Canis lupus familiaris: one gene and its partners. The protein of the gene in region 3 binds, or shares a complex with, the protein of the main gene of each other region. Links are inferred from orthologs where the notes say so. Each region holds a gene or a part of one and is shown on either strand. Other genes may lie near its edges. The genes, in order: SNRNP200, CRNKL1, SF3B2, DHX16, CWC15, RBM48 and G-patch domain and KOW motifs-containing protein-like.

Region 1 (4,020 bases), on a different chromosome or scaffold from region 3:
AAAATAACCTCAAAGGCTCTATACCTGCAGAATGTCCAGCGCCCCTAGCTCTGTCCAGCGCCCCTTCTCTGGACTGTACACCTGGGTGCCTTTGATGATGACTGTATGGGCAGGGAGATTCACACCCCAAGCCAGTGTTGCTGTGGAAACTAAAACCTACAGAAACAAGAAAAGTAATAAAGAAAACAGACATATGTTACCACTAGAGGGTTAGTATCCTCAAGTCCTCTAGGAAACCGGCCTCAGAGCTTCTAGCAGGACCGAGGTAGGCTCCATACTTGTCAAGGTAACACTAGAATAAAGAGGGAAAGAGTCGGGACACCTGGGTGGCTCAGTGGTTGAGCATCTGCCTTTGGCTCAGGTCATGATCCTGGGGTCCTGGGATCAAGTCCCACATCCAGCTCCCTACAGGGAGCCTGCTTCTCCCACTGCCTACGTCTCTGCCTCTCTCTGTGTATTTCTCATGAATAAATCAATAAAATCTTAAAAAAAAAAAAAAGAGGGAAAGAGTCCTTGGGTTCCCCTCATCTACCCAACAATGAACATTTCAAGGTTCTAGAGATACTTGCAAGGCAAAAGTGTAAACCTAAACATTAAGATTACTAGACAATTAATAATATACCCTATCCTGAGACAGAAAACAAGGTCCCAACCTTACAAGGCCCTGCTTGGAGGTACCTGCAGTCACTAACATGCCTCCTTTGTTATGCTTAGACACTTTTCTCAAATCACTCACCTTCCTTCACACAGTAGGTAAAGACCTGGAAGACGTGGCACAACATTGTATCCACTGTACTACCACAACCTTATGACCTGGTTTCCCTGAGCCACAAACAAAGTACTGGGCACAAACATCTGGCATTTGACAAGCAGGTCTTCTAAAGCCTACATTTTACTCCCCCTCACCTGAATGTGTTTATCAGCAAAAAGATCCTCTACAAGTGTCCGGTCAACTCTGGTCATGCCTGCATGATGAATAGCAAAGCCATACGGCAGAAGATCCTTCAGCTCCAGGTTCTGTGGAACAGAAAAAGAACAGATGATTAGGTGAGCTTCGCTGTGGGAACTCTATGGAGACTAAGTAGATCTCTTCACATGAGACCCTGCCCCTTACCGAATCCACATAACCACACCTAGCCATTCAATCTTAACCTGTCTGATACAGTACCATCATGATGCAGTCGAGAACTGTATGGACTACCTTGGATTAAACCAGCTACCAGGTAGTTAACAGAGAACTGGGGCAGTTGCTCCTCACCTTGCACTGCTCAGCTTCTGTCCGAAGAACTTCTGTGGAGGCTGAGCCCTCTCTCAGGAACAGACCCAGAGTGTCCTTCTCCAGGCACATGTCACGGATGGCCCTGGCCGTCTTCCCAGTCTCCTTCCGGGAGTGGACAAAAACCAGCACCTAAGGAAAAACCAGTTTGCCACGGTCAAGAGACACAGCTACCACAGTCACTTCCATGGCTCTGAGGTACCAATAACAGGAAGCAGCGGCTACACTACTGGATGGTGAGAAACCGAGGTCTAGAAGAAGGGCAATGGCAGGAATGTATATTGATTCAGAAGCCGGCAAGACCTTATGTAAGTAAAACTACAAAGCACAGTGGCAGAGTCCCATAGCTGGGAAAGTAAGCTCTAAGTACTCTACCTTTGAAACCAAGTTTAAATATAATAAGGATGCAAATTCAGGAATCTCCATTGCGAATTTGTGTTTAGGCACCTGACACAATTCTAAGCCACCTGAGGAATATGCCTGTAAATTAACAGCTGAAATATTGTATTAAATGATGGGCACTGGACTTTATAAAAGGACTGAGAAAGTAAGTCTCCATTTGGTAGGAAAGTCATTCAAGTATTTAGTGCCAAGAAAAGATTGGTCTCTTTATTTAAATGCAAATGCTTTTTATCAGACAAAAATCTATACACCTTTCACTTTTCCTTAGTTTTTGTCTTGGTGAACTTAGCAGTGTTCGAGTAAAAAATTGTTACCATATTTTCTAGTAAAATGCCCTCTTTCACTAGTTTTTATTTGTATTTTCACAGGTTACATTTCTAGTGTCAACCACCCAAATCTTTTATAGAAGGACCCCTGATAATGTAGAGAGACAGACTGATTATCCGCACCTGGGGATTTCATTTTTGGGAGTTTTTAAATTACAAATTCAATTTCCTTTAGTGGTTATGAGACTATTCAGGTTATCTATTTCATCTAGACTGAGTTTTAGTAGATGGTGCTTTTTGAGGAACTGGCCCATTTCTTCTTCTAGGTTGGCAAATTTACGTGTGAAGTTTTTCATAGTATTCCTTTATTATCCTTCCCCTGGATACAGATTCTACTGTAATATCCCATTTCATTCCTAATACTGGTGATCTGTGTTGTATCCTCTCTTTTTTATTTTTGTCGATATTGCCTGATTATAAACCAAAAAGTCAAGAACACCTGGGTGGCTCAGCGTCTGCCTTCGGCTCAAGGCGTGATCCCAGGATCCGGGATCGAGACCCACATCAGGCTCCCTGCATGGAGCCTGCTTCTCCCTCTGCCTGTGTCTCTGTCTCTCATGAATAAATAAATAAAATCTTTAAAAACAAAACACTACAAAAAGTCAAGAACAGAGTTCAACAAGAAACCACAGACAGACCTGATTTTTTCCAGCATGTTCCATAATCTTCTCATAGACTATTTCATTCATGATCTGGAAACGCTTGATAGCTTTTTTCTCTGTGATACCCACATAAGTCTGTTCCAGGGGCACTGGGCGGAAGCTAGAAGTTCAATAGTTAAACATATTAGGCTTCTAGCACAGAATACTGAGGAAATAAACAGTCATATTTGCTGCCCAGGAACGACATTCCTTTCTAGATTCACACCACATCAAAACTCAAAGACCGGGACACCTGTGTGGCTCAGTGGTTTAGCACCTGCCTTCGGCCCAAGGCATGATCCTGGAGTCCCAGGATCAAGTCCCACATCGGGCTCCCTGCATGGAGCCTGCTTTTCCCTCTGCCTGTGTCTCTGCCTCTCTCTCTCTCTGTCTCTCTCATGAGTAAATAAAATCTTTTTTTTTTTAAGAAATCTTTAATAAATCTTATTTATTCATGAAAGACATAGGCTGAGAGAGGCAGAGACATAAGCAGAGGGAGAAGCAGGCTCCTCGCAGGGAGCCCAATATGGGACTTGAAAAAATAAAAAAAGAAAGAAAGAAAGAAAGAAACCAAACCCAAAGACCCTTCTAATACCCAATCCAACAAAGCTCCCTGAAAGGGGGATAGGGCAGCAGGAAGGTCACCCTGGTTAAATTTCTCCCATCTTCTCTCATACCTATTGTCGAAGTAAAAGAGGCCCTTGGCAGGATCCACACGCAGGAAGGTAGCCACGTCTTCATAGTTGGGGAGGGTAGCACTTAGACCAATGAGTCGGACATCCTCCTGAGTCATCTCAATGTTTCGGATGGCCCTGGCCACCAAAGCTTCTAAGACAGGACCTCTGTCATCGTGGAGGAGATGGATCTCATCCTAAGTAATGAAGGGGCTACAAATTATCTCCAGGACTAGAAAAATGTGGTCCTCTTTCCTGAAAATAGTCCCATTTTGTGGTATATACCTCATATGCCAAATAAAGAAGAAAAGAGCAGGCAAGAGAAACCCAAAGGGTGGGACAACATTCACTGTGAAATACCCTGGAAAATATTCTCCTGTAACCACTGAGAGCTGCATTGCTAATTTAGTGAAACATATGCTTAATGGCAAGAAAATCTAATACTTCAGGTAAATGAGTTCATCACTTCACTCAAAGACAAATTTCTTGGGTAGCTCAGTGGCTGAGCATCTGCCTTTGGCTTGGGTCATGATTCCAGGGTCCTGGGATCAAGTCCCTTATCAGGCTCCCCACAGGGAGCCTCGCTCTACCTGTGTCTTTGCCTCTATGTCTCTCATGAATAAATAAAATCTTAAAAAAAAAAAAAAAAGACATTTCTTTACTAAAAATGAAGCTTCTAAGCAGATCATATTTATATCAAA
Region 2 (4,020 bases), on a different chromosome or scaffold from region 3:
AACAAAGATGAGTTATAGCCTCAGATCAGTAGCAGAAAGCTTATCTTTCCCAATTAATTTAAACACAGCCGATTTCTGAAAACCCCCCTTGATCTTTACTAAAAGCAAAGATGTGTGATCTAGCTGTGATCCCTACTGAGGAGGAAACCCAGGAAACGACACAAAATAAGCTAAAGGCTGCTTTACTGTTCCCTTCCGAAGTTCTAAGTGATAATCCTGTGCCTCAGGTCTGAAACACAAAATACAACAAAATACCTCACCTGGACCAATGACAGGTTTAAGAGTTTGCAAGGCTGCAGAGAGAGTATGTAACTGTATGGCCGAGAATCTAAAGCTAGATTCCTGTTTCAGGGATCGCACATGTCCATACCCACCGCTACCCAAAACAGCAGACTTATACCCGCAGAGGTGACGCAGCCATCAATAGCTGATGCGGAAGTCCACTTTTTACCTTGGCCTCCAATTCTTCATAGAGTGCATAGTTGACCCACAGATAGATGTAACGCTTCCAGTGCCGCTTCTCTTGAATGGGTGGCACATTGGCGATGGCTCTTTCATAGACTTCTCGAACGGTTTCTGCTTCTGCATCACTTTCCACCAAGCGCAAGTAATCAAACCATGCATCATAATTGTGTGGATTAGCCTAAAAGACCGTTTAAGTTTAATGAATAAAAATCAAACCAAGAGCTACACTCACTGGATTCTGTGAGGAAAAAGAACACCCTTGATTGACTGTATGTTAGCAACTGTTTTTCTAGATTTCACATACTAGCTCATTTAAAAATACTGTTCCTGAGATCCTATAAATAGAAAAGAAAAAGGAACATAGAGGACAGATTATTTGCCAGGTGTCCCACGGCAAGGCCGCTTTCATATACAACCACCACCCTCAAGATAGTTACTCAATAATCAGATGCCTAGTTTTATGAATGTATTTGTTTATATATGTGACTGCTTATCATTATGATGTCTAGATTTAAAATTACAGTGCAATCAGAACCATGGCCACAAATGTGAAATCTGCCTTCTCCAGTAAGTCATTTATCTTGAATATATCTTACTGACCTCATTTAACACAGGACCCAGTCCTTTGTTTGGCAATATCCTAATTAATTTGACTTAGCAAAAGCTTTAAGATACACAGCAGATTAGTGAAACACTATTGCCTTTGAATCTGAAACAAAATAGTACATCACAGATAGAGAAGAGAACCATATCTACAGTACATCTTTTGTTCAAGCAGTTAAGCTAAAAGGTAGTGCACAAAGGCTATTTGGCTCAATCTCTGACTCGTCCATCTTTTTCAGAAATGAGTTCAAATGGATTCCCAGTATTTGCTCAAGTTCTACGGTACACAATCAGCAAGCAGCAAAGTGACTTTCAACATGTTGGTGGCAGAGCAAACCCAAGCGCTGCTTGCTGGCCTTTTCTATGAGCCCTGCTGATTCCTGTTGCAGTGGCTGCCAATTACTGCAGACGTATCAGCAAGAGCATGATCCCTGGGAGTCCTTGCTTGCTATTCTTCCCTTCACTGTAGCTGCTATTGGTCAGCATGTTTGTTACCTACAGGGGTCAGCGTCCGCATCAGCACTCACCTTCACTTCTTCCTCATACTGGAATCTTCGTTTGCTCACAATGATGTCTTCAATACCCCGCCTATCACCGAACTTCTTCTCAAAGATGGTATAGTTTTTAAAGAGTTCTTGGGCCTCCTGCTTTGAAATTCTATCCAGGGCATACTTGTAGATCACTCGTACCCTTTCAAACTAAAAGCAGATAGGAGGATTACTTCTCAACACAATATTCTCACCCTAGCAACAACTTGGAAGGTAATTATGACATAATATATTACCTGTAAGATTGTGTGGTTTCAAAATGTCCTAAAAAAGACTTTTTTCTCCCTCCTGTTGAGGTATTTGTTGGGGCACACCAATATTCTTCTTTGAGCTCCACGCCTAATACTGTCTACCTAACACTGCCAGTTGGGTATCGTCTGTGCATCTAGGACTAAAAAGGTCCCAAACTGACCTCCTTTTTCTCACCATCAAACCTGGGTCTCTCTGTCTTCCCAGTCTTTGTAAGCAATACCTACAGTCATGCACTTGCTCGAGCCCCAAACCCCAAGAGTCCTCCTTGACTCTTTTCCTGTCCTCATTCCCCACATGCACTACCTCAAAGAGCCCTGCCACCTCTACCTTTTCAACATGGCTCTTTGTACCCCCCCCACCCCCAAACCATCTCCATTTCTTCCGCAACCACTTCAAAAGTCCCTTTACTTCCATTTTCACCATCGTTTTCCCCAATACAGTCTACATGGATTAGCTAGAGGCCTTCCTTAGAATATAAATCACATCCTACCACTCTTATGCTTCAAACCCTTCATAATTCCCACTGGCCTGACCCTGTATTTGGACCTTAGCCCATCTCTCTCGATCCTGTAGTATCTGAGTTACTTTAAGGGATTATTTCCATATATATTATGGAAGATCAGAACCGATTTATTTGTGGGGAAACCTCTGTTTTCATTCAAATTCTGTTCTCTGTTCTAAAGGTTTCTGTTCTCCAGGTTTATTACCTGTAAAGCCCTTTTATGAGGAGAGCAAATGATGAACTTTCAGTTTACATACAATATTCTCATCATAGATATGAAAGCTGAATTTTCAAAAAGGACAATACAATTAGGACACTTTAGTACAATGTGTAAATTGCTCAGTTTCCAATCTGCAGCTAAGCCACATGTGTGCTGTTCTCTGAGAGATTCTGGAAACATTTTTTCCAAGGATAAGTGAATAAGAAAATGGAATGAACTCCATGTGCACAAGTATTCTTTCCTAAACTGTTCTGCAATATAACTGAGCTCTTCAAGTGTACTTACTTCTTTCTGATTTTCTTCAAATTTGGCAAAGGCAACATAAAGGTGTTCATCCATATGTTCATCTCCAAAGAATTCAACAGCTCTCTCATACACTTTCCGTGCATGGGCAAAATAACCATGTTTTTCTTCAAAGCGAGCATACTTGATCCAGTTCTTAACATCAGGGTGCACGAGAACAAGTTCAGGGGAATTAAGGAAATACCATGTAAGACAACAAGGCTTTAAAAAAACAAAAAAACAAAAACAAACCCAAACCCAAACCCAAACCCCCAACAATACAAACTATAGGGTTTGATAAAACATTTGCAAAGGTGAAGAACCGGTAATCTGTAACCTCTGGCAGGGGGTTGTGTCTGGTTCATCTGTCTTCCTCCAGTGCTTATTCAGTATTTCTGTAGTGGGTACAAATGGGAGTTTTGAGAAATGAAAAAGCTGAGGTCTGTTATAAACCATGCCATCCTAGACAATTCATTTAACTTGCCTAAGACTCGGTTCTCTGTAAATAGAGAAAAATAATACTAACCCAACTCAGTGGTATTATTTATTTATTTTTAAAGATTTCTTATTTATTTATTCATGAGAGAAAGAGAGGGGGGGGGGGCAGAGACACAGGCAGAGGGAGAAGCAGGCTCCATGCAGGGAGCCCGACATGGGACTCGATCCTGGTTCTCCAGGATCACACCCTGGGCTGAAGGCAGCACTAAACCACTGAGCCACCCAGGATGCCCCAACTCAGTGGCTTTAAAGGAGGAAATGTGTGTAAAATCCCTTGCAGCTTGGGGCCAAAAGAATGTGTCCACTCAACAAATGGCACCTACTCTATTACATGCTCAATAACATTAATATTTCAATTAATGACTAAGAAAAAAATCTCACAAAAACAAAACTGCTAAGTATTGGCAAAGAGAAGAATTTTTTAGGTTTTTCTCTTTTCTTATTGAAATATGGTTGACATACAAAAGAAAGTTTTGAATTATTTTATATCTTAATAGATTAAATCGATTTTCATCTACTTCGCTTAAGGAAATCATTAATTCCATAGTAATACGTTCAAATATGGCAACGAAGTTAACAGCTGGGTTCAAAGCCCATTTCCATTACTACCTGAGAGACCCTGGCCATGCTGCTTATTGCGCTCGTGCCTG
Region 3 (4,558 bases):
TGGCCCAGTCTGTTTTTGTTTCTCATAAACATATCTATCCTGGACCTGGCATCCCATTATTTTTCCCGTGCTCTCAGCTACTTCTCTTTGGAAGGCAGTCAGTGAAATGGAGCATGCTAGAAAGAAGATATGAAGGGTGTGTGTGTGTGTGTGTGGGTGTCAGGAAAATGAGACCACTTTACTTGAATTTCCCAGCTCTCACTCAACACACACACACACACACACACACACACACACACAGAGGCAATGAGCCTGCCAGTGAGAGGACAGGGCTAGAATGGGAAGAGGATCTCAGAGCTAGTGGCAGAGATGGGAAGAGAAACTGAATTGATGGGTCAGGATAGAGAGAGATGGAAGCTACACAAGCAGGGAACATCTGCTCATCCCTCCCTCAGGTGCACAGGCGGTTGCTGGTGCTGCTGGTGCTGTTGGGGCAAGGAAGGCAGCGTCGACTCTGCCAGTAGGCTGGTGGGGATAAGGGGAGAAAAAGTCCTGAGCTCATTTTTGGGACTAAAAAAGATGCATCCTGTCGCCCGAAAGATCGTTTCGTTTGTTTTCCCCATTAATCATTACTGAGCGCCTCTTGAACGCCAGGTGCTGCCGGACAGTAAAAAGACCAGGTCCCCTGTGCACGTTCTTGGGGAGGTGGGGCAAAGGGGCAAGAAAGAGTTTAAAACAAATGGTAGATGTTTGTACGTGTTACGGGAACTCCAAGGAAGGAAAGGAAAGCGGGAGAAAGGCTAGCGGAGACATCTGAGCCGGCCTGATAGGTGGAAAAAGGGGCTTTAGTGTGGCCCTTCCCCCCAGGTCGGCAGCTGGAGCTCAGCCCGCTCCCCTCCTGGCTCCGATCCTCTTTCAGCCCATTCATCCATGCGTGGGCCGGGGGTGGGCGGGCAGACAATCAGATACTGTTTTATCACAGGCATCGGCTGCAACCTCCCGCTTGGCGCCCACAACGCGCGGCCGCTGGCAGAATGAGTCCTTCAGGCCTCCCTGAGGAACGAAAGCGTCCGGGCCTCTCACGCCTGAGCTGAAAGTCTGGTCGGAAGGCTGGAGATCTGCGCTCCGGCGAGGCAGACGCAGAAAGGACGCCTTTCTGGCGGGACCATCTTGCCCCGCAGCCCCGCCCCTGCTCCAGCCTCCAGTGTTGCCGGTGCTTCAGCCCGGCACTGTGCTCCGGGAGCCGGACCCGCAGAGAACGGGACCTGCGTACTACAACTCCCAGAAGGCTTCGCGGCCTGGCATCCTGGGGACGCTTGGAGATCCGCAGGGTCTGGGCCGCAATGTGAACCGCCTGCCAATCCTCCAGCGGACGTGGCGTACGGCGCTGCCGGAAGTTCCGGCAAGTGGGCCCCAGGTCCGGTCCGGACTTCCGCGTTGGTCGCGCGCCTTCCTGCGGCTAAGATGGCGGCCGAGCATCCCGAGCCTCCCAAAGGAGAGTTGCAGCTGCCGCCGCCGCCACCTCCCGGTCACTATGGCGCTTGGGCTGCCCAGGAGCTTCAGGCCAAATTGGCGGAGATTGGAGCTCCGATCCAGGGTGAGGAGCTCGGGAGGTCAAGGGCCGGGGCAGCGTAGGCCCAGGGAGAAGCGGAGCCTGGTTACCCCGGAGACCCGGGGGGCGGAGGGAGGGGCGGAGGCGGACCGCTGGGGCCTGGCTTGGTCCCGCAGGCCTGCTCGGCCTGACTTACCCCGTTGATCTTGTGCTTTGCCCATCAGGGAGTCGCGAGGAGCTGGTGGAGCGGCTGCAGACCTACACGCGCCAGGTAAGTGTTGGCGGGACGTCAGGATAGGCCGAGTTTCTGAAGGCCTCAATGAGCCCTCAGGACTCGGTCTTAGCTTTTTATGTACCTTGCTGTTTCTGCTTGTTTTTTTACATTACCTGACCAGTTGTAAACATTTCTGTATATATAGGTCTTCTGCAGTGCCTAGCGCAAGCTCTGGCAAATGGGCAGTTGGTAAATTTTGTTGAATGAATGGGAGCAATGACGTTTTGTGGAACAGCTCCTCTTGGACTGACCTGGAGTCCTTTCTCTTTTGCAGACAGGCATCGTGCTGAATCGCCCAGTTCTGAGAGGTGAAGATGGGGACAAAGCTGCTCCCCCTCCCATGTCCGCACAGGTAAGGAGGTGGTTCTACTTTATAAGATGACTTCTGTTCAGGGCAGCTCCTCTCACAGTCAGTGTTTTGGGGATGCCACTAACAGATTGGACAGGGAGAAATGGGAGCTCTTCAGTTCCCCTTTAGTCCTGATCCTTACCTCCTTACCCAGTGTCTGCTTCTCCAAATACTACCTGTCATTTAAGGTTTAGCTTAAGTAATTTAGAAGCCTGACTTGATTCTCCTTCAGCTGGAAATAGCTCTTTTTTGCCTTACCAGGCACAGTTCTCATTTTGTTCAGTGAGACATTATGGCTCACTCTCTTATTTTATTTCATACCTTTTATATTTAGTGAGCCATTGGGACACACTGGCTCCAGTTTATTTAAGTCTTCTTAACTTCCATTTCCTTTCTGAGCCAGGATTTGAATTTTTCTCTAGGACAAGACTCTGATCTGGGATCTATTGACTTCTGTGGGTGGGAGGAGGAGTTCCCAGGTGGCCATTAGAGGTGTCCTTGGATTTCCTGAAATTGTATGCACAATCTGTGTTCATGGTTTTCTGGGGAGAGAGTCAATAGCTTTCCTTGGTTGGTACCCCAAAGTTAGTATTCTCTTCTATCGGTATTATATTTTTTTGAATGCAGGAATTGTCACTTGACTTTGAATTTTAGTACCTGGCTCATAGTACCTGCAAATGTCTGCAGTAGATAAACGGTTCCTAGTGTATGTTGACTTTTTTTCCACAGCTTTCTGGGATTCCCATGCCACCACCACCCATGGGACTCCCCCCTCTGCAACCACCTCCACCACCCCCACCACCTCCACCAGGCCTTGGCCTTGGCTTTCCTATGGCAGTTGGTCCCCGCCCACCAAACTTGGGGCCACCTCCTCCTCTCCGCGTGGGTGAGCCTGTGGCTCTGTCAGAGGAGGAGCGGCTGAAGCTGGCGCAGCAACAGGCAGCATTGCTGATGCAGCAAGAGGAGCGTGCCAAACAGGTAGGGGAGGTGGCAGGTTGGGCATAGGTCTCATCAGGGTCCTAAAGAGGATTGAAGCCTTAGAGAAAGCTGGATCCTGGGGCCAAGCCTTCTGGGAAGTCTGGACCAACGACTGGAACATAGACCCCAGGCTGAAAGAGGACCCCCAGAAGCAGTGTTGTGGCAGCCTGGCCTGAGGGGTAGTGGTGCTGATGTGAGTTTGTTTTCTTTTTTAAGCAGGGAGATCATTCACTGAAGGAACATGAGCTTTTGGAGCAGCAGAAGCGGGTAATTCCCTCCATTGGCTGTCACTTCTAGTACTAGTGTCCAAAACAAGATGCTCCATTCAAGTTTTCCATGGAGGTTACCTCATCCTTAAGTTCCAGTATCTCCCAGATAATCCCATCTTTTCTGGAGCCCAGATTGGTAAACTACAGACTGTGACCTGATTTTGTATGGCCTGCAAGTTAAGAATGGTGTTTCTAACTTTGGAGGATTGTTAGGAAAAAAAAAATTGGCAAACCAAGAACATACTGCAACCCTTGCAATGGCCCATAAAGTCTAAGATATCTGTTGTTTAGCCCATTACTGAAAAAGTCTGATAATTCGTATTAGTCTTATATGATTTTAGATACCTATGAGAGGACTCTGGATTAGTCAATTGTGTGGGATTTAGACTAAATGTGATAGAGGTAGTTAGAGAATAATACATGAGACATGCAGTCCCAGAGGTGCACTCTATCAGTTGTTCCCTGCTGCATTACTGGAGATATTGAAAGTAAGCATTAACAGGAATAGATATGAAATTATGAAGTGCTGATTTTGCCTAGAATGTGTTAGATCTTTTTTTTTTTTAATTTTTTTTTTTTTAATTTAGTTATGATAGTCACACACAGAGAGAGAGGCAGAGACACAGGCAGAGGGAGAAGCAGGCTCCATGCACTGGGAGCCCGACATGGGATTCGATCCTGGGTCTCCAGGATCGCGCCCTGGGCCAAAGGCAGGTGCCAAACCGCTGCGCCACCCAGGGATCCCTAGAATGTGTTAGATCTTAAGGAGCAGATAAAAGAATTCATTGTTCCTTAGACATAACTTAATCTCTTGGGGGAAAAGCTCTTGTTAAAAAAATAGAAGGCTGTGTGTAGTTAAATGTTAAATTCTCCGTTAGAAACCACGAGTTTCCCAGGTTTTTTTTTTTTTTTTTTTTTTTTTTGCGTGTTATTTGCAGGGGTTTTCTTTTGTGATAGAGGCCACTTCCATTTGGATCAATAGTCCAATCACCCTTCCAGGGTGGGGCTGGTGAGGATGTCAGAACTCAAGTGGTACCTGATTGTTCTTCTTTGGGCCTCCTGGCTAAAAGACTACATTTGCCAGAGGCTGCCTGACCAATGGATTTCCAAGCTGTGTATTCACTCCCACATCTCTCTTATAGGCAGCTGTGCTCCTGGAGCAGGAACGTCAGCAGGAGATTGCCAAGATGGGCACC
Region 4 (4,535 bases), on a different chromosome or scaffold from region 3:
TTCCTTTTGCCCTCTGATGTTGGCTCCCTGGGCGCTGGGACTCACCATGGCTTTCCGGTCTTCCTCAGCCATCTTGAGGCGCTTCTGAGCCTCTTCATAAGCCTAGAAGAATCCAAGGGTGCAGGGCTATGAGGCCAAAATCTCCCACAGCCACTCCCTCTCTAGAATCACAAGGATCATTTGGATATACTATAGCATACAGAAATGTCCCTTCTCAGGGGGGAATCTCTAGGCCTACAGGTTGAGCAGAGGATCAGCAGACCCTTCTGGGTCCTCTTACTACAGAGATGAACACCTCCAGAGGCCACCCTGGTCTTCCCAGAGAGCCCTATCTCTGCAATCACACCCAACCTCAGATCTGACCCAGGGATCTTCTTGGGGATTTACAGAACATGCTGCTCCTATGCACCTTCTTGTCTGACCGCTCCAGGACATTGCGAGTCCGATCCTTGTCTCGCTGCCGAACCCGCTCAGCAAAGGCATCACGTTCCTCCAGGTCCTGAAGGCGCTCTCGCTCGGTCCGCTCCCACTCATCCTCAGATTCCGGCTTCTCAGTCTGTTGACTCCCCCTGCAAACCAGTCCAAAGGATTACATAAGGTCTCCTAGGAAGCTTACTGCCCCCTTATCCCCTGCCTCACCCTCTCTCACTCTGCTTCTAACTTACCCTGTCTTTCTTCTCCCTTTCTCGGAAATCTCTTCCTCCTCTTCTTCCTCCTCCTGACATTTCTTCCTGAGGTGTTTCCGTTTTCTACGCTTCTTCTGGAGACTGCTCCCAGTTCTACCTACGGTCTCCTCACTACTCTCCTCACTGTCTTCCAGCAACTTATAGGATCGGTTCTTTTCCAGCAGGGCTTGGGCCTCTCGCTCGGCCGCCCGAGCTGGCTTTTCTACCACCGCCTTCCGTGGTACCTATCAGTAGAAGGGAAGATAATGGGATGTGAGCAACTCCTGATTTTTACCCATCTACTTTGCCCCATTCTGAAATTTAAAGAATGGCGTGATTTTTTTTTTTTAAGATTTTATTTTTTTATTCACGAGAGACACAGAGAGAGAGGCAGACAAACAGGCAGGGGGAGACGCAGGCTCCATGCAGGGAGCCCAACGTGGGACTCGATCCTGGGTCTCCAGGATCATGCCCTGGGCCGAAGGAGGCACTAAACTGCTGAGCCACCCGGGCTGCCTGGAATGGCCTGATCTTAAACTAACCTTCATTGTCTCTTTTCCTCATGGCTTCACACCATGTTCATCAGCCTGAACTGGGCCTTTCAGCTTCTGAACCTCCTTGCAGTCATTCATTTAACAAACATTTATTGAAGCCTGTCTGATGCACCAGGTACTTGCTAGGGATCAAGGACACAGGAATAAATACAAGACAAAAATTCCTGCCTGGGTGGCTCAGCGGTTGAGGGTCTGCATTCCGCCCAGGGCGTGATCCTGGAGTCCTGGGACTGAGTCCCACATTGAGCTCCCTGCATGGTGCTTGCTTCTCCCTCTGCCTCTCTCTGTGTCTCTCATTAATAAATAAATAAAATCCTTAAAAATAAATAAATAAAAATTCCTGCCCTCATGGAGTTTATCTTACATTCTTTTTTTTTTTTCTTTTTTTTTAAGGTGTCCCATGCAGGGAGCCTGATGTGGGACTCGATCCTGGGACTTCAGGATCACGCCCTGGGACAAAGGCAAGTCCCTACATTCTCAAAACCAATTCTCAATTGCTCAGACTCTGTTCTTCCCCACAATTAAGTCATCACGATGCAAGGACTGACATGCTACAAGGATTGGTTTACAGAGGCCTGTCATATGTTTGGCACCGTACCAGATTCCAGGGATACATGCTACACGGATTTACATAAAGTCCCTATCCTCATATCACTTAGATTCTAAATTCATCTTTCACCAGGAACCATATGTGACAACTCAAGCAGGCTACCTGCCATTCTAGGAACACGTTGAACACTTTCACTCTTCGATATACTTACTAAGCACCTGTTCTGTAAGGTGTTGTCAGGTGGAAGAAATACAAAGACAAGCAATACACAGTCCTGTCCTCCAGGAATTCACTTTTACACCTTTACTCCTTCCCCCTTCTCTATCTATCAGACAGATTCCGGGGAATCTTTGGGCCTGCTTTCCCCTGATCACTACCCTTACCTTTTGTGCCCTACCACAGCACTTCTCACACATTTCTTCTATAGCCTTGCTACTCAAAATGCTGTCCGTGGACCATCAGCTTCACCTGAAAACTAGCTAGAAATGCAAAAACTAAGATCCCACCCCAAACCTATCGAATCTGGATCCACATTAAAACAAGGGCCTATTAAAGTTCGTGAAACACTGCTCTACAGCACCTAACGGTCCTTGAACTTCTCCCCAGAGCTGCACGTCCAGCACCTAGTACAGTACCCAGGCGACAACGGATAAAAGCTAGGTGCTGGTGTAACCGAGCTTACTTAATTCCCCCAAGGACAGTTAGCCTAGCCTCACCTGGATAGACAACCTGGGGCCCCGCCCCCGCTCCACCTGCTCTCCCGCCGCGCCCACGCCGGGCCCCGCCCCGCCCCTGCAGACACCTTGGTCCAGAGTCTCAAGGCGAAGTCGCGAGCCGGTCCGCTGAGGTCCAGAGTATCGGTGTCTCGCAGGCGCTGTACGAAGTCCTCGGCCGAGGCGCATCGCTGCGCGGTACCGATCAAAAACTGGGCTACGTGCCGCTCGCTCAGCCCCAGCACCGAGTGCAGCTCGTCCTGCACCCAGCGCTCCAGCCCAGCCGGCGTCGCCATGGTGACCCACGCTGCCCGGTTCCTGGCCCTGAACTATGTCGAGTAAACACGCTGGCGGCTGGGCTCGTCGGAGGCCTGCAGGCCTGGAGCCCTGGACTGGAGTCCCAGCTCCGCAAAGGACCTGCCTTTGACCCTTGGGTCTCGGTTTCCCACAGCCCCAAACCGTCTTCTCGGACCGCAGAAGCCGGAAACGACTAGTCGTTTCCGGCCAGTCGTTTCCGGCCTGTGCACTACGGCGGCCGAGCGAAGTCAAACCTCGCGGAACCGCCGAACGGGTGAGACGTTTCGTTTCCGTTTCCACCAAGTCTTTCTGTCGCCCTCTGATGGTCAGTCTGTGGATACCTCGCTCACGCATTCATTCAACAAATGCTGTGTGCTAAGCAGTTTTAGTTGCTGGGGATGTGGCAAATTATCAGACAAAAATCCCTTACTGAAGGAGGGGGAGGCAAGGTAGATAATAAATAAAGTATGGGGCCAAAAATAATGCAAGATTTGTGTGTGGTTTGGGGAGGTTCTATTTCAAATTGAAAGGCTAGGTCCCTGCTGATGAAAATTAGCCCATGCTGATTAGGAGTGACGTTTGCTCGTGCCAGTACCTGTGGCAAGAACGAATACACGTTAGACACAAGCGAGGACCTCCAAGCAGCAAGAAACAGCTTTAAAAACCTCCAATCTGGGATCCCTGGGTGGCGCAGCGGTTTGGCGCCTGCCTTTGGCCCGGGGCGCGATCCTGGAGACCCGGGATCGAATCCCACGTCGGGCTCCCGGTGCATGGAGCCTGCTTCTCCCTCTGCCTGTGTCTCTGCCTCTCTCTCTCTCTCTCTCTCTCTCTGACTATCATAAAAAAATAAAAAAAAAAAACCTCCGATCTCAGGAATGTGTAAACTGTGTTCTGCATTTTGTTAACAGCTTGAGAAATTCACTGGCGGTGCTTATTCAAAAATAAGCAGAGGAAAAAAACAAAAACAAACAAACAAACAAAAACAAAAATAAGCAGAGGAGCACCTGGGTGGCTCCGTGGTCGAGCGTCTGCCCTCCGCTGCCCTGGTGATGCCCTGGTGATGCCGGGTCCTGGAGGGAGCCCCCCCGCAGGCAGCCCGCTCTGCAGAGGGCCTGCTTCTCCCTCGGCCCTCACCGGCGCCTGCCCTCCCGCTCGCTCGCTCGCTCTCTCTCTTTTTTTAAAGATTTTTAGTTATTTATTCATGAGAGACAGAGAGAGGAGAGAGAGAGAGGCAGAGGGAGAAGCAGGCAGAGCTCCCTGCAGGGGGCCCGACGTGGGACTCGATCCGGGTCTCCAGGATCACGCCCTCGGCCGAAGGCGGCGCCAAACCGCTGCGCCACCGGGGGGCATGCCCAGCACTGGCTTCTTAGATGCATTGTTTTCTGTTTCTGAGATGGACTGTGGGCACCCCTGGCGTCTCAGAGCTTCCTGCCTCTGGTTTCCTGGGTCACAACTATTAGGGTCTTTATTTAATTAGCTACGAGTATAAGCATTGTTTCCCTCCATACTCTCTAAACTGGCTTATTGTTTTAACACCTTTGTTGTTCCTTTGCTAGTAAGTTAAAGACTTTGGTATTCGTTTTGGTATTCGTTTAAGGTCGGTTTGTCTTATTTTGTATTTAGTAAAAGGGGGTCTCCTCTGACTAAGCTGAGAAAATTCCTGTAGTGGTAGGACTATAACTACTCAAACATGTCTTTACTACCCTAGCAAACTGGAAAAAAAAAAAAAAAAAACCTGATAAGTAAACTATAGATG
Region 5 (4,683 bases), on a different chromosome or scaffold from region 3:
CTTGGTCACATGCCATTTGTTGAACGAATTAATGAAAGTATTGATTTTAATATGGGAACTGTAGTCTCTCTCAGGGAATTTAGGGAATACTTTACATATGTTGAAAATACAAAAAAGACATTATAACTTATGCCCCTAGATGCCTTCCAAAACCCAGTGACAAAAACAGGAGACCCTCACATAGAGAAAACACGAAGCCTTAAAAAGTCTCGTTGCTGTAAACAGTCAAAACCTTTAGGAGTGCCTACGTGGCTCAGTCTGTAGAGCATCTGACTGTTGATTTTGGCTCAGATCATGATCTTGGGGTCCTGGGATTGAGGCCCACCTGCTTGAGATTATCTCTCCCTCTGCCCTTCCCCCTGCTCATGCACATGTGCTCTCTCTCAAATAAATCTTAAGACAAAAACCTTTACGTAAACTGAAACAAGAACTGCCAGATATCCCCAGATCATCCTGTTCCTTCTGCTAAGGAAGCACAAAGAGATGGAACTGGAGTCAACTCTAATCTAATCACTTAAGAAAGTGTTACCAATCTTAAAGCAAACAATACTTTATATTGTTTACGCCAACATTTTAAAGCAAGCAAACAAAAAATATTAATCAGCTCCAATTAGCCATGAAAGAAAAACCATTGTCAACATAATTTCATGATGACAAATATCTGGGGGCAGTGTTGGTACCTCTTGTTGGACGGTCTCTGTTTTTTTCTCTTGCAGCAGCTCTCTCTCTCTCTTCCAGCTCCCTCCTGAAGTCACGGTTGCGAACCTCTTCAGGGGCATCCTGAGTAGTTTGTCTAAAGCAGAAACAATTTGGTGAAAATATTACTAAAAAGATACATGGCTGTAGCAGGGGAAGACAGTTCGCAAAAAGCCACTTTGTCCTCAAGTTCAAGGAACTAAATGAGATCATTACCCTAATCTGAAGGTCACTAACAGGCATTCTTGTAATGTTTCCAACGTTTCAGAAAGCCCAAACTGAGTCACATATTTTCCCATAAGGCTGGGGAGTAATTAAAATGTCTTTACTTTTTGTTAGTACATCAATTCAGGGCTCATTAGTCTGACACTTTTCACCTCACACTGAGTAGTGCTGATAGTGGATGGGCCCTGAGGTCACTGCTATTGAGCCATCTACATACGGAAATTCCCAATTAATAGGGATTTCTGCATAAGTAGTACATGGTAGTGTTTTAATAATCAGAGCACAGTTTTAATGTTAAACACTCTATTGCATTCTATCCCTATGAAAATAGGTTAGTGATATACCCCAAACACGCTAGAATCTCATGAGCATGCCATTTAACAGATTTAGTCTTGTCTTCTGAACAAGAAAATAAAAAGTCTTCATTACCTATATTTTATCTTTGTATGAGAAGGTAGGTCTCTACTTGAATACTGCTTTGAGAGTTGGCTCAAATCACCTTCTCCTTTTCCTCTCCCACCTCTTGCAGGTTCAAAAGTTGGCCTAGCTGCTGTTGTCATCTTTTATGCTTTAAAGAAAAACTGTATCAAGTTATTTCCAATATGATATATTCTCATTTCATAAGATATTAATAATATTCATCCTTGTGAAATAATTTCCAGAATTCATTCTCCAAAATTAATAATCTCAAACAAAAGTTCTCAAGAAAACACATAATGAAGCTCAGGGTATATAAGGAATATAGCTTCTTAGGCAACTCTTATTTAGGGCAAAAAATTCTCTCATGAAGATGGGAGTTGGTGTTCCTGTTCTCCTTCTGTATCTGGGGCCCTGGGCAAGTCATCCAGCTCCAAGTTCTGAGGAATGGGCAATGTCCCCCACAGGGTTATTATTAGAATTGAAATGTCAAAAAAAAAAAAAAAAAAGGAATTGAAATGTCAAAGCCTTGCAAAATTTAGTACTGCCAACACTGAGTTTTAAAAATTCTCAGCTTTATGGGCAGCCCAGGTGGCTCAGTGGTTTAGTGCCGCCTTCCGCCCAGGGCCTGATCCATGGAGCCTGCTTCTCCCTCTGCCTGTCTGCCTCTGTGTCTCTCTCTCTCTGTCATGAATAAATAAATAAAATCTTAAAAAAAAAATTCTCAGCTTAACCCTAGTCCACCAGATGCCCTAAGGTTTGCACTTAACCTCATACAACAGAAAACAGGCTACTAACTACAAAACCAGGTTGTTTTAAAATCACCGACAAGGTTACGGAGTGTCCTGGAGTAAAGTAGGCTAAACTTTAAGGACAGTTACACGGGCAGGATTCTCCAACAACCTTTTGTCGGTCCAACTTTCTTCTATAGCAACGATTAGAATACAAAGCAGATTTTTGTAGGTGACGATGCTCATGAAAGGAAAGTCACCACCAAAGGATTCCGATAAACAAAACTCGGGGACCCCTTCCGTTACTTCTGGCTTGGGGCTGCCAAGAGGGGTGCCTAGCAGACGTGGCTACTCAAGTCCCGTCGAGCGTCCGAAAAGCCAGGTGCGGGGAACCGGGGTGGGGGAGGCGGGCACTGAGTGTACGTCCCTCGATTTTTTAAAAAGGGAAAAGGGATCTGCGCCGAGAGAGCCCGGGTTTCCTGCCGCTGGGGGCGCCGCCGCCGCCCGCACACTCCCGGATTTCGGTCACTCCCGCCTCCCGGGGGCTGGCCTTCGGGCTGTTACCAGAGGCTCGCTGGCTCTTCACCCCGAGGCCCGACTCGCAGGGGGTTCGGGGGAGGAAGGGGTGTGGACCCCGCTACCGCCGCCCGCCTACTGCCTTCACGCTGCGCGCTCCGCGGCCGCCGCCCGCCCCCGCCCCCGCCCCCGCCGCGGCCCCTGCGCCCACGCCCGGCCCGCTACCGCCGACTCCGGCCGCTGCCGGCCTTCCCCGCCCCACCCGCGCGGGACGGACAACCTGCTACCCTCCCGCGGCACACGTCGACCAAGGTCTAACGCGACAGCCTCCGCAAGTCACACAGACACCATGACGACTCTCACCTCCCAGCAGCCTCCGCGCCCAGGACCGGGCCCGAGCCCCACGACCCGGAAGCAAACCCCGGCTCTTCAGCCGCACTTCCGAGGCCGAGGCGGAGACCAATCGGCAGCAGGCGGGGTGGAGGTCGGCGTGATGACGGCGGGGGGCGGGGCCGAAACGGCCCAGGGGGCGGGCGTTTGAAATCCGTGCTTTCGAGTAGACCCGAAACATCGTTTTATACCTTCAAGAGCCAATTACTTAATGTCTCTCGCGTCCTTCCCTTCCCCGACCCCCTCCCAGCCTCCTTCGTTCCGCCGCTGCGTGGACGGAAAGCCCCGGGTAGCGGACCGCGAGTCCCCGGCTAGCGGGAGGGAGCGTAGAGAAGGATTACACCCAAGTGTTTAAAGCCAACGGCTCCGGCTTCCTCTCTCCTGAGCTAGACCCAGCCAGCCTAGAGTGGGCTGCGGAAAAACTAGTGTTTTCATTTAATTGGATATGAAGAAAGAACAAATATGTACGGGGGCAACCACGATCTTTATAAAGGTACCATTCCTGCAAAAATACTAGTCTTCAAGGCAAAGGTTGTATTCGTATTGTTTGTTAACATTTCCATTTTTTTTTAAAAAAGCCTGAGTTCTAGCGGGAGGGGAGATGTCACTATTAGAGATTCACTTATTAGCCCGATGATGAGCGTTTGGAACGCTGGGCCCAACTGCCAGGAGCGCGAGATGCAGTTCCTGGAAGATGGCTACTCGGGCGTTGGGGGAACTTTTAATGAGACAACGAACGCCAGTCGTCCGTTCTCCCTTTTCCAAAAAGCACTGGGAGCAGGGAGCTCGTTTGTTTAGTCCATCTTGGTATCTCATCACATGGTCTTTGGCCACAGTAGATGCTCAATAAATATTAGACAGATGAAAATTCAGCATCTCCAACTTGGTGTCAAATATAAACAGCTCATAAAATCGAGCATTAAAAAGCTTTATTTCCAGAACTCTTCCTTTGAAACCTGTAAATTCTTTTAAAAAGTAGAAGCAGCCCCTTCCTTTCTGAAGGTCAAGATAAAAAATTTTTCTCTTAGGGATGGTGTTTCTCCCCTAGTTTTGTACGTCTCAGTAAAGGACACTGCCAGGTACCACTTATTAAACCAAAACCTCAAGGCTCCTGATTAAATCCCTTTTACTTGACTCCTCACATATAGTTTATTTCCAAGACTTGTCCATTTTACTTTTAAAGTATGATACCCAAAATTTCATTCCCCTGCCACTACCCTAGTTCAAGCCACTGGGATTTTTCACCTGCATTATAATTGCTCCCTAATGGACCTTCCTGCTTCCACTCTGGCCCTACATACGGTTAATTTTGCAGATAGCAGTGAGAGTGATCTTTGAAAGTTATGGATCAGGTAGTGTTACTCTTCTGCCTAAAAACCCCACTGCACTTAGAATAAAGGTCAAATTCTTTAATGTGACCTGAGAACCCAAGGGGTCTGGTTCCCGCCTATCTGCCTGACTTCACTTTTAATCAGACGTTCTTTTACATATTGAACTCCAGCCACAGCCAACAGGGCATTTCTGTTTCACAAAGGATAAGATTTCCTTTGCACTGGGTTTTCTCTTGCCTGTGCCTCAAGATAACCGTGTTAACCTCCTTCAAGCCTCAGCTCAAATGTCACTGCATCAGTGAGGCTTTCCCTGACATCTTCATTTTCTTCCCCACACCCCCAACATTCAAATACCATCGTGTCGCCCTCCTTTATTT
Region 6 (2,902 bases), on a different chromosome or scaffold from region 3:
CTTCCTTATTCTTGTGAATTGCCTTTATGTTATTTTTCCTCAAAATGTACATGTTCGTCAGGGGAACATATGGGTAAAGCATCCAACTTCTCTCAGGACAGTAGAAACCATGCTAAAACAATGGAGCATTGTATGCACAATGACTCTTTGCAGAAGATACAAATGAAACCTTTAAAAAATTCATTGGCCTTCCCTGGTGCACAAAAGGCTATTACTTCTTCAGAGGCAGTTGAGAGATTTATGCCTAGGACAACACAACTGCAGGAGCGGAAAAGAAGAAGAGAAGATGATCGTAAAATTGGAACTTTTCTTGAAACAAGCACAAGTAGTAATGAGGTTATGATTGGGCCTCTGTTACCAGACATACCTAAAGTGGACATGCATGACGACTCATTGAATACCACAGCAAATTTAATTCGGAATAAACTTCAAGAGGTAAGATCATTTTTAAAAAACTATTTTAAGAGACCATCTGGTCATAGGACTAACAGCTAAATCGAGATTTGTGGCAGCTAAAGTATTGTCATTAATTTTTTTCATTTTCAGTTTTTTTTTTATGTGTTTTTCTACAGTTCTGTTGAATTAACTGAATTTGACTTAACAGAAATGTATGTGCTTTGATGTCATTAATCCTTGCTTTAAACAATGTATTTCATATCATTCTAGCTCTAAACTATAAAAGCAGTGGTTTCAGTCAGTGAGGTTGGTCTGTGAGAATTGAGCCCAGGCCCTCCCTTTTTAAAGCTCCCTGGTTGGTTCTATTATGAGCCAAAGTACAGAACTGTTGTGTTGAAGGAAAATTACTACAACTTATTTCTTTAAAGTTATTACAAAATTACATTAAATTAAAATGCTTTTTTCTTCTTTGATAAAGATAGCCATAGAAAAAGATGAGATTTCTAAAGACTAGCCACTACGGTCTGCATTTCAAAATGTCAGCTCCTTAAATAGAATACAGCTCGATTGTACTACTTAAGTAGTAATTTCTTTACATATTATTTATGTAATCATTTTACATTTTCCAAGCACCAATAAAAGAAAGCTAACATTTGAATTAGCTTTTGAAAGATACCTTTTTTATGGGGCAAACCTCGTAGAAATCAAGCTGAGGAAGAAAGACCATTCTCTTAAACTTTAATCTGAGGTTCAGAGAGTGCTTTTTGTGTAATTGTATGTATATTTTACAGAGTGATTAAGGGAGTCTGAGGTGGCTTAGTTTATGTGTATTTTTTTTTTTACCTGAAAATTACTATCTCATTAAGGATGAGCTCCTATTTTATAATAACAAAAATCTATAAACGCAGTTTCCATGCTTAAGCCTCTTTTTAAAATTTTTAGTTTGTGCTGGCCCCCTTCCTTCAAATACAGCTGAGCTGAGGCATAGATAGAGATGCATAGCGCTCTCAGCCAGAGCAGACTGTATTTTCAAGAAAAAAAGTTGTTAGGTTCAATTCCTAAAAAGGAAACAGCAGAACAACAAAAATGAGAAATGCTTAAACACAACTTACTACAGATGCTAATAATAAAGGATTATTATAGAAGAGTACATATTTATTTTTCTCCCTTCAAATTTTTTTTCTTGTTAAATGGCTTTAGAAATTTTACTCCCATCAGTGTTTGGACAGAAAACTTTGCTCTGTAGGCTATACCCTGAAATTGGACTCACTCTGCCTCCAATGTGATGGCAAGATTTGAACTACTAGATGTAGATCCTACCTCTTCTATTAGTTTATTTATTCCTGTGCTATAAGGAATAAATGTTGGTGGTTCTCTTTTTTTAAACTAGGTAATTTCATCTGTGCCAAAACCTCCAGAAGACAAGCTGGAAGATGTGCATTCAAGTCGTCCATTAAAACAAAGAAGAAGAATATAGATTGCCAGCAGCAAATTATGTTTCCTGAGGGACTATTTATTATTTTTAGCCTGTCATTTTAATTCTTGAAGAGGTTGTACTGCAGGAATTTTCTAATGCATTCCTCTTTGTAATATCATTCAACCTACTTATTTAATAAAATTTCATCTTTTAAAATTAGTTTATCATGGACAAAATACATGCCAGCCAAATATATTCCTTAATAAAAGAAAACAACTTTTCCAGTGATTCTGGTTACATCTTACTAGCTAGAACTGGGCTCATGGCTGTTCCTAACTGGGGAGGTCTGGCATGGTAAATAAATGTTTAGGTTTTCTTTTTTCTTTTTTCTTTTTTCTTTTTTTTTTAAGGTTTTCAACTTCTGTGGTTGAGGAAGCAAGAGAAAAGGGGGTTATGAAAGGCTTATTCACAGGATTTGCCTTAAGATCTAAGCCTTGTTGGCTAACTTAAAAAGTAAAATTAGTTTATCATTACTTATAGGTGTTATTTTGATCATACTTAATATTACAGAAACTGTTCTTATTCTCACATTGCAGTAATTATAGGTAAATGAAGTGAAGCAAAGATAAAAACTTTAGAATGCAAGTAAAGATAGGCAGTCAGGATCTGCTTCTGATTTTAATACAAGTATTGAGTAATTCACATTCAAAAACTAGAAGTCAGGATGTGTCTGAATGCCAGGGCTTCAAAATCAATACAATTCTGTAAAGTAAAAAAAGGTAAACTATTAGAACAAACTATTAGAAAATGCTAACCACTACCCTTAGCATACCCACATTGTTTTTCCTGTCAGGGAACCACATAATTGGAATTTGGAATAATTATGTTCACTCTTTCCCTTTTTTTTTTTTTTTTTAAGTGATAAAAATAACTTGAGAGAGCCCATATCAAATGGTGGTCTGTTCTTTTTTCTCTATACCTTGCCTAATGAATTGATTTTGAATATACCAGTTAAGAAAGTTCATCAGTTATGACCTACTGATTGAAACTTGCTGGGATGGCTCCAAGTGGTAGATGGTATTTAAAGAA
Region 7 (4,020 bases), on a different chromosome or scaffold from region 3:
GCAGGGAGCCCGATGCGGGACTCAATCCTGGATCCCAGGACCACGCCCTGAGCTGAAGGCAGATGCTCAACCGCTGAGCCACACAGGCATCCCTCCTGTTTGCTTTTTGAAACTCTGTAACGGGATCCCTTCTGTACGGGGTTACCTTTCTGAGCATTAGCTTCCTCATCTGAAAAATGAGGGTAGTGACAATACTGACTTCCCATATCTGTTGCAGAATTACATGAAATTATGTACATAAAGCACTTATAGCAGGCCCTGGCCCAAAATAAACATAGATGAAACATTTGCTATTATCACACAGACTTTTGATCCCTTCTCAGTTTTCTGAACTCCAAAGAATTCTGAAAACCAAATATTTTTTTTCAAACATTTTTTCATAAACCATTTAGTAGCCACACATGACCTGAATTGACACAGAGCATTTTATAGTCTGTTCCTCCTATTTGGTGTGAATATTTGTATGATTTCCCCTGTAGAAATATTAGGGTATTATAATCAAAATCACAGAGATCTGCCTCAGATCCTGCTGTAAATAATATGTAATAGATGGTATACCCAGTGTGTTATTAGGTTGGACCAAACGAAATTGCTTTTCTGTAGATCAAAAACAGTCCTGGGATCCCTGGGTGGCTCAGTAGTTTCTAGCGCCGCCTTCAGCCCGGGGTGTGATCCTGGAGACCCAGGATCGAGTCCCACGTCGGGCTCCTTGCATAGAGCCTGCTTCTCCCTCTGCCTGTGTCTCTGCCTCTCTTGCTCTCTCTGTGTCTCTCATGAATAAAATAAAATCTTAAAAAAAAAAACAGTCCTAATGTGAGATCGGGAAGGATATTCTTGAGCATGTTGATGGGGTGGGATTTGGATGGCTGTGAGGGGACACTGAAGACTTGCATTCCTCCCCTCCCCAGCCCAATAAGCTCATATACTGTGTTGCCTGCAGAGTGGTGAAGCCCCGTCTCAACTTACTGAGGCCGAAGGGGTTAGGGCTGGGTGCCAACCTGAATGAGGTCCAGGCCCTAGTCCCCACTGGCCCCCACCACCTGCCAAAGCCAGATGAAGAGCAAGAGAAGGCTAAGGAAGACCAGCCTCAAGGACTGGTGCCTGGAGGAGCTGTGGTGGTTCTTTCTGGCCCTCACCGAGGCCTCTATGGGAAGGTAAGGAACCAAGCTATGCCTAGAGCCCAAGACAGGCAGCGGGGAAGTTTGATGTGAGGGTCAGAGGGAGGAAGAATTGGGCTTAGGGTGGAAAGGCTGGAAGTCCTTGTCTTTCAGGCCTGCCTGGCTTGCTACCTCATTTGGTAACTCAGAACCACTTGCTGGGCCTGAGTCTCAGTTTACAACTAAAAGAGAGAATGGCCATATGTGCCAAATGTTCCTGAGGCTTAAGTTCTTTAAAATATATCCAAGCCACACAGTCTGGTAGGGGAAACACATGAACCAGGCCCAGGCCCAGGCCTTGGGTCAGTCTGGTGGGGGAGACACAGGGGTCAGGCTTATAGGAGGTAAGACTGGACAGTTCGGTCCTAGGAATGTGAGTTTAGTCCACTCAGACCCTGCCTAACTTCGTCCTCCCCAACGCTTCAGGTAGAAGGCCTCGATCCTGACAATGTTCGGGCCATGGTTCGCCTGGCCGTGGGGAACCGCATGGTTACTGTTAGTGAGTACTGCCTGCGCCCTGTCTCCCAGCATGAGTTTGACAAGAACACCTTGGATCTCAGTGAGTGTGCCTCTTACCTAGCTGGGAGAGTTGGAGAAACATTCCAGGGGGCAGTAGGGGCCTGTACCTGGGGGTGAGGCTGGGTGGGTGTCAGATCTGCAGAGGGGAGGGGCAGTGGTCTGTCAGGCAGATGTGACTTCTGGTCAGAATCCAGGAGGTGAGAATGAAGATCAGTGGTTTATTCGGTTTGAAGAAAAACTGATCTAGTAACCCTGGGGCTTTAGCCTCTCAGAGAAAAAACAGGTGTGGAAACCTATTCCTATCCTCAGGAGGTCTCTGTCTGTTCTAGGTGATGAGCCTCTCTTCTTCTGGGTGTGAGGGCAGCCGGGACTAGGCCATGCCCAAGGAGAAAGGCATTCTAGGCATGGCAGCAGGATGGGGCGGTTTGACAGATGAGATATTGGTGCTGATGGAGCTCTCAGGATTCCCTAGCCCACCTTGGAGTGGCTGAGGAAGCCTTCCTGAAGGAAGCCCCAGCAGTTGAGGGGAAGGGGAGAGCATTCTGATGGCATAGGCAAAGTTGTGATGGTGGGAGGGGACATTGAGGCAGGTGGGAGGTGGCCTGAGGCCAAGGTGTAGCCTGCCAGGTAAGAGGCTCACACTGAGGCTCCTTCCTGGTTCTCCCCATACACCCTTGCACAGGCCAGATGAACAAAACTTCCCCAGGGCAACAGAATGGAACAGCCTCATCATGGAAGGCCCTCCGGGATCAGGACCTCCCCAGCTGGCGGGAGGACTCAGAGAGGAAGCGGAAACACCTTCCCGACCGGTGGGACCCTGGGCATCTGGGGTTGGGGGAGAAGGCAAGGCTGTGGAGGGATTCTAGCAGTCAGAGAAGGCTTCCCGGGCAAGGCAGGCACATAGAAGGAACTAGGGATGACATCAGGGCATCAGGGGTGGGTTTCACAGCAGCCAACTGTGGGGTGACCAGAACGTGTCTCATCAGCTAAGCCTGTGTTGGCCCTTTCCGCAGACAGGGGGAGCCCGCAGCCAAGAATGAGAAGGCAGGTCCCCAGAGCCAGCACTGGTTGCACAGGGACCTGCGTGTGCGCTTTGTGGACAGGCAGCACAAAGGTGGCCAGTATTACAACACCAAGGTGGGAACCCTGCAGCCTGGCTTTCCCCCACCCCCCCGGAACTAGGCCCCCATAACTGTAACACTCTCACATCCCGTGACCCTTTCTCCAGATGACCATTGAAGATGTCCTCAGCCCAGATACCTGTGTGTGTCGAACAGATGAAGGCCGGATTCTGGAAGGTGAGTCTGAGGGATGGCCACTGGGGTTTTAATCATCCATCCTAGAGGCTGAATAGGAAGGCTGTCTTCGACCCAAGAGGCTGGTGCAGGCAAAGGCTGGAAGGTTAGGCAGAGTTCAGGCATTTTGCACAGCCCAGAATCTTTTGACAGAATACGAGGCACTTCTGTGATGGTGATTATCTAAGCTGCTCTTTCCCCCTGTGATGGTGATTATCTAAGCTGCTCTTTCCCCCTGTGCACACTGGCATAGAAATGAGCTATTTCTCCCTCTGGGGACTGGGCCTTGTACAGATGTGTACTGAACTCCCCGTGCAGGGCAGGGCATATGACGTGCACACAATAAACGGTATCTGTTGTCATCACCCATCATTTTCGTGCATAAGTGCTCCTTTTTTCATAGTTCTTTCTTCTTTTTTTTCCCAAGATTTTATTTATTTATTTGACAGAGAGAGAGCATACACACAAGCCCGGGGAGTGGCAGGGAGAGGGAGAACCAGACTCCCTGCCAAACAGGGAGCCTGATGTGGGACTTGATCCCAGGACCCTGGGATCATGACCTGAGCCTAAGGCAGACGCTTAACTGACTAAGCCACCTGGTGCCCTATTATAGTTATTTCTAGGAACTGCTCCTTAGGTGTCCTCACCTGTGAGCTGGAGTGGGGCAGGGGGACTCCCACCTGTCAACAGGGTGCAGGATGGCTCTGAGGCATACAGGAAAGGCTTTCTGACAGGACCTGGGTGGGCTGGCCCTGGCCATGGGCCTCACTCCCCTTTCCTCATCTGCAGGCCTGAAGGAAAACATGCTGGAGACCCTGGTCCCCAAGGTCGAAGGCAACCGGGTGATGGTGGTGCTGGGGCCACAGGCTGGAAGGGTGAGTTCTAGACCTGGGCATGGGGTGAGGGGCATGCGGGGGCTGTCCTGGAGTCTGAATTGGCCTTGCTGACCTCACCCATCACTACTCCAGGTGGGCCGCCTACTAGGCCGGAACAGAGAACGGAGCCGAGCTCTGGTGCAGCTGCGGAGAGAGAATCAGCTGGTGGAGCTT

What was found.
Region 1: SF3B2 (region 3) and SNRNP200 share a complex: the UniProt entries of both Homo sapiens proteins name them as parts of the minor spliceosome. The link is inferred for Canis lupus familiaris from reciprocal best matches to the Homo sapiens genes SF3B2 and SNRNP200.
Region 2: SF3B2 (region 3) and CRNKL1 share a complex: the UniProt entries of both Homo sapiens proteins name them as parts of the minor spliceosome. The link is inferred for Canis lupus familiaris from reciprocal best matches to the Homo sapiens genes SF3B2 and CRNKL1.
Region 4: SF3B2 (region 3) and DHX16 share a complex: the UniProt entries of both Homo sapiens proteins name them as parts of the minor spliceosome. The link is inferred for Canis lupus familiaris from reciprocal best matches to the Homo sapiens genes SF3B2 and DHX16.
Region 5: SF3B2 (region 3) and CWC15 share a complex: the UniProt entries of both Homo sapiens proteins name them as parts of the minor spliceosome. The link is inferred for Canis lupus familiaris from reciprocal best matches to the Homo sapiens genes SF3B2 and CWC15.
Region 6: SF3B2 (region 3) and RBM48 share a complex: the UniProt entries of both Homo sapiens proteins name them as parts of the minor spliceosome. The link is inferred for Canis lupus familiaris from reciprocal best matches to the Homo sapiens genes SF3B2 and RBM48.
Region 7: SF3B2 (region 3) and G-patch domain and KOW motifs-containing protein-like share a complex: the UniProt entries of both Homo sapiens proteins name them as parts of the minor spliceosome. The link is inferred for Canis lupus familiaris from reciprocal best matches to the Homo sapiens genes SF3B2 and GPKOW.

What each region holds. Positions count from the first base shown.
Region 1 is NC_049238.1:34,661,634-34,665,653, reverse strand, and holds part of SNRNP200 (U5 small nuclear ribonucleoprotein 200 kDa helicase), read right to left. Parts: intron 3,517-4,020; coding exon 3,323-3,516; intron 2,767-3,322; coding exon 2,643-2,766; intron 1,409-2,642; coding exon 1,259-1,408; intron 1,018-1,258; coding exon 907-1,017; intron 157-906; coding exon 25-156; intron 1-24. UniProt on the Homo sapiens protein: Catalyzes the ATP-dependent unwinding of U4/U6 RNA duplices, an essential step in the assembly of a catalytically active spliceosome. Plays a role in pre-mRNA splicing as a core component of precatalytic, catalytic and postcatalytic spliceosomal complexes.
Region 2 is NC_049245.1:3,686,143-3,690,162, reverse strand, and holds part of CRNKL1 (crooked neck-like protein 1), read right to left. Parts: intron 3,055-4,020; coding exon 2,876-3,054; intron 1,830-2,875; exon of another isoform or gene 1,767-1,829; coding exon 1,596-1,766; exon of another isoform or gene 1,308-1,595; intron 1,033-1,307; exon of another isoform or gene 996-1,032; intron 644-995; coding exon 452-643; intron 1-451. UniProt on the Homo sapiens protein: Involved in pre-mRNA splicing process. As a component of the minor spliceosome, involved in the splicing of U12-type introns in pre-mRNAs.
Region 3 is NC_049239.1:51,711,801-51,716,358, reverse strand, and holds the start of SF3B2 (splicing factor 3B subunit 2), read left to right. Parts: upstream 1-1,358; 5' UTR 1,359-1,404; coding exon 1,405-1,537; intron 1,538-1,716; coding exon 1,717-1,763; intron 1,764-2,040; coding exon 2,041-2,118; intron 2,119-2,844; coding exon 2,845-3,093; intron 3,094-3,309; coding exon 3,310-3,360; intron 3,361-4,504; coding exon 4,505-4,558. UniProt on the Homo sapiens protein: Component of the 17S U2 SnRNP complex of the spliceosome, a large ribonucleoprotein complex that removes introns from transcribed pre-mRNAs.
Region 4 is NC_049233.1:613,633-618,167, forward strand, and holds the start of DHX16 (pre-mRNA-splicing factor ATP-dependent RNA helicase DHX16), read right to left. Parts: upstream 2,990-4,535; 5' UTR 2,779-2,989; coding exon 2,572-2,778; intron 911-2,571; coding exon 666-910; intron 570-665; coding exon 410-569; intron 103-409; coding exon 46-102; intron 1-45. UniProt on the Homo sapiens protein: Required for pre-mRNA splicing as a component of the spliceosome. Contributes to pre-mRNA splicing after spliceosome formation and prior to the first transesterification reaction.
Region 5 is NC_049242.1:6,114,852-6,119,534, reverse strand, and holds the start of CWC15 (spliceosome-associated protein CWC15 homolog), read right to left. Parts: upstream 3,080-4,683; 5' UTR 2,949-3,079; exon of another isoform or gene 2,866-2,948; intron 2,751-2,865; exon of another isoform or gene 2,634-2,750; intron 1,503-2,633; exon of another isoform or gene 1,490-1,502; 5' UTR 1,482-1,489; coding exon 1,351-1,481; intron 794-1,350; coding exon 681-793; intron 1-680. UniProt on the Homo sapiens protein: Involved in pre-mRNA splicing as component of the spliceosome. Component of the PRP19-CDC5L complex that forms an integral part of the spliceosome and is required for activating pre-mRNA splicing.
Region 6 is NC_049235.1:18,074,713-18,077,614, forward strand, and holds the end of RBM48 (RNA-binding protein 48), read left to right. Parts: coding exon 1-435; intron 436-1,786; coding exon 1,787-1,873; 3' UTR 1,874-2,101; downstream 2,102-2,902. UniProt on the Homo sapiens protein: As a component of the minor spliceosome, involved in the splicing of U12-type introns in pre-mRNAs.
Region 7 is NC_049260.1:42,454,650-42,458,669, reverse strand, and holds part of G-patch domain and KOW motifs-containing protein-like, read left to right. Parts: intron 1-940; coding exon 941-1,154; intron 1,155-1,583; coding exon 1,584-1,716; intron 1,717-2,358; coding exon 2,359-2,485; intron 2,486-2,689; coding exon 2,690-2,813; intron 2,814-2,904; coding exon 2,905-2,974; intron 2,975-3,760; coding exon 3,761-3,846; intron 3,847-3,939; coding exon 3,940-4,020. UniProt on the Homo sapiens protein: RNA-binding protein involved in pre-mRNA splicing. As a component of the minor spliceosome, involved in the splicing of U12-type introns in pre-mRNAs.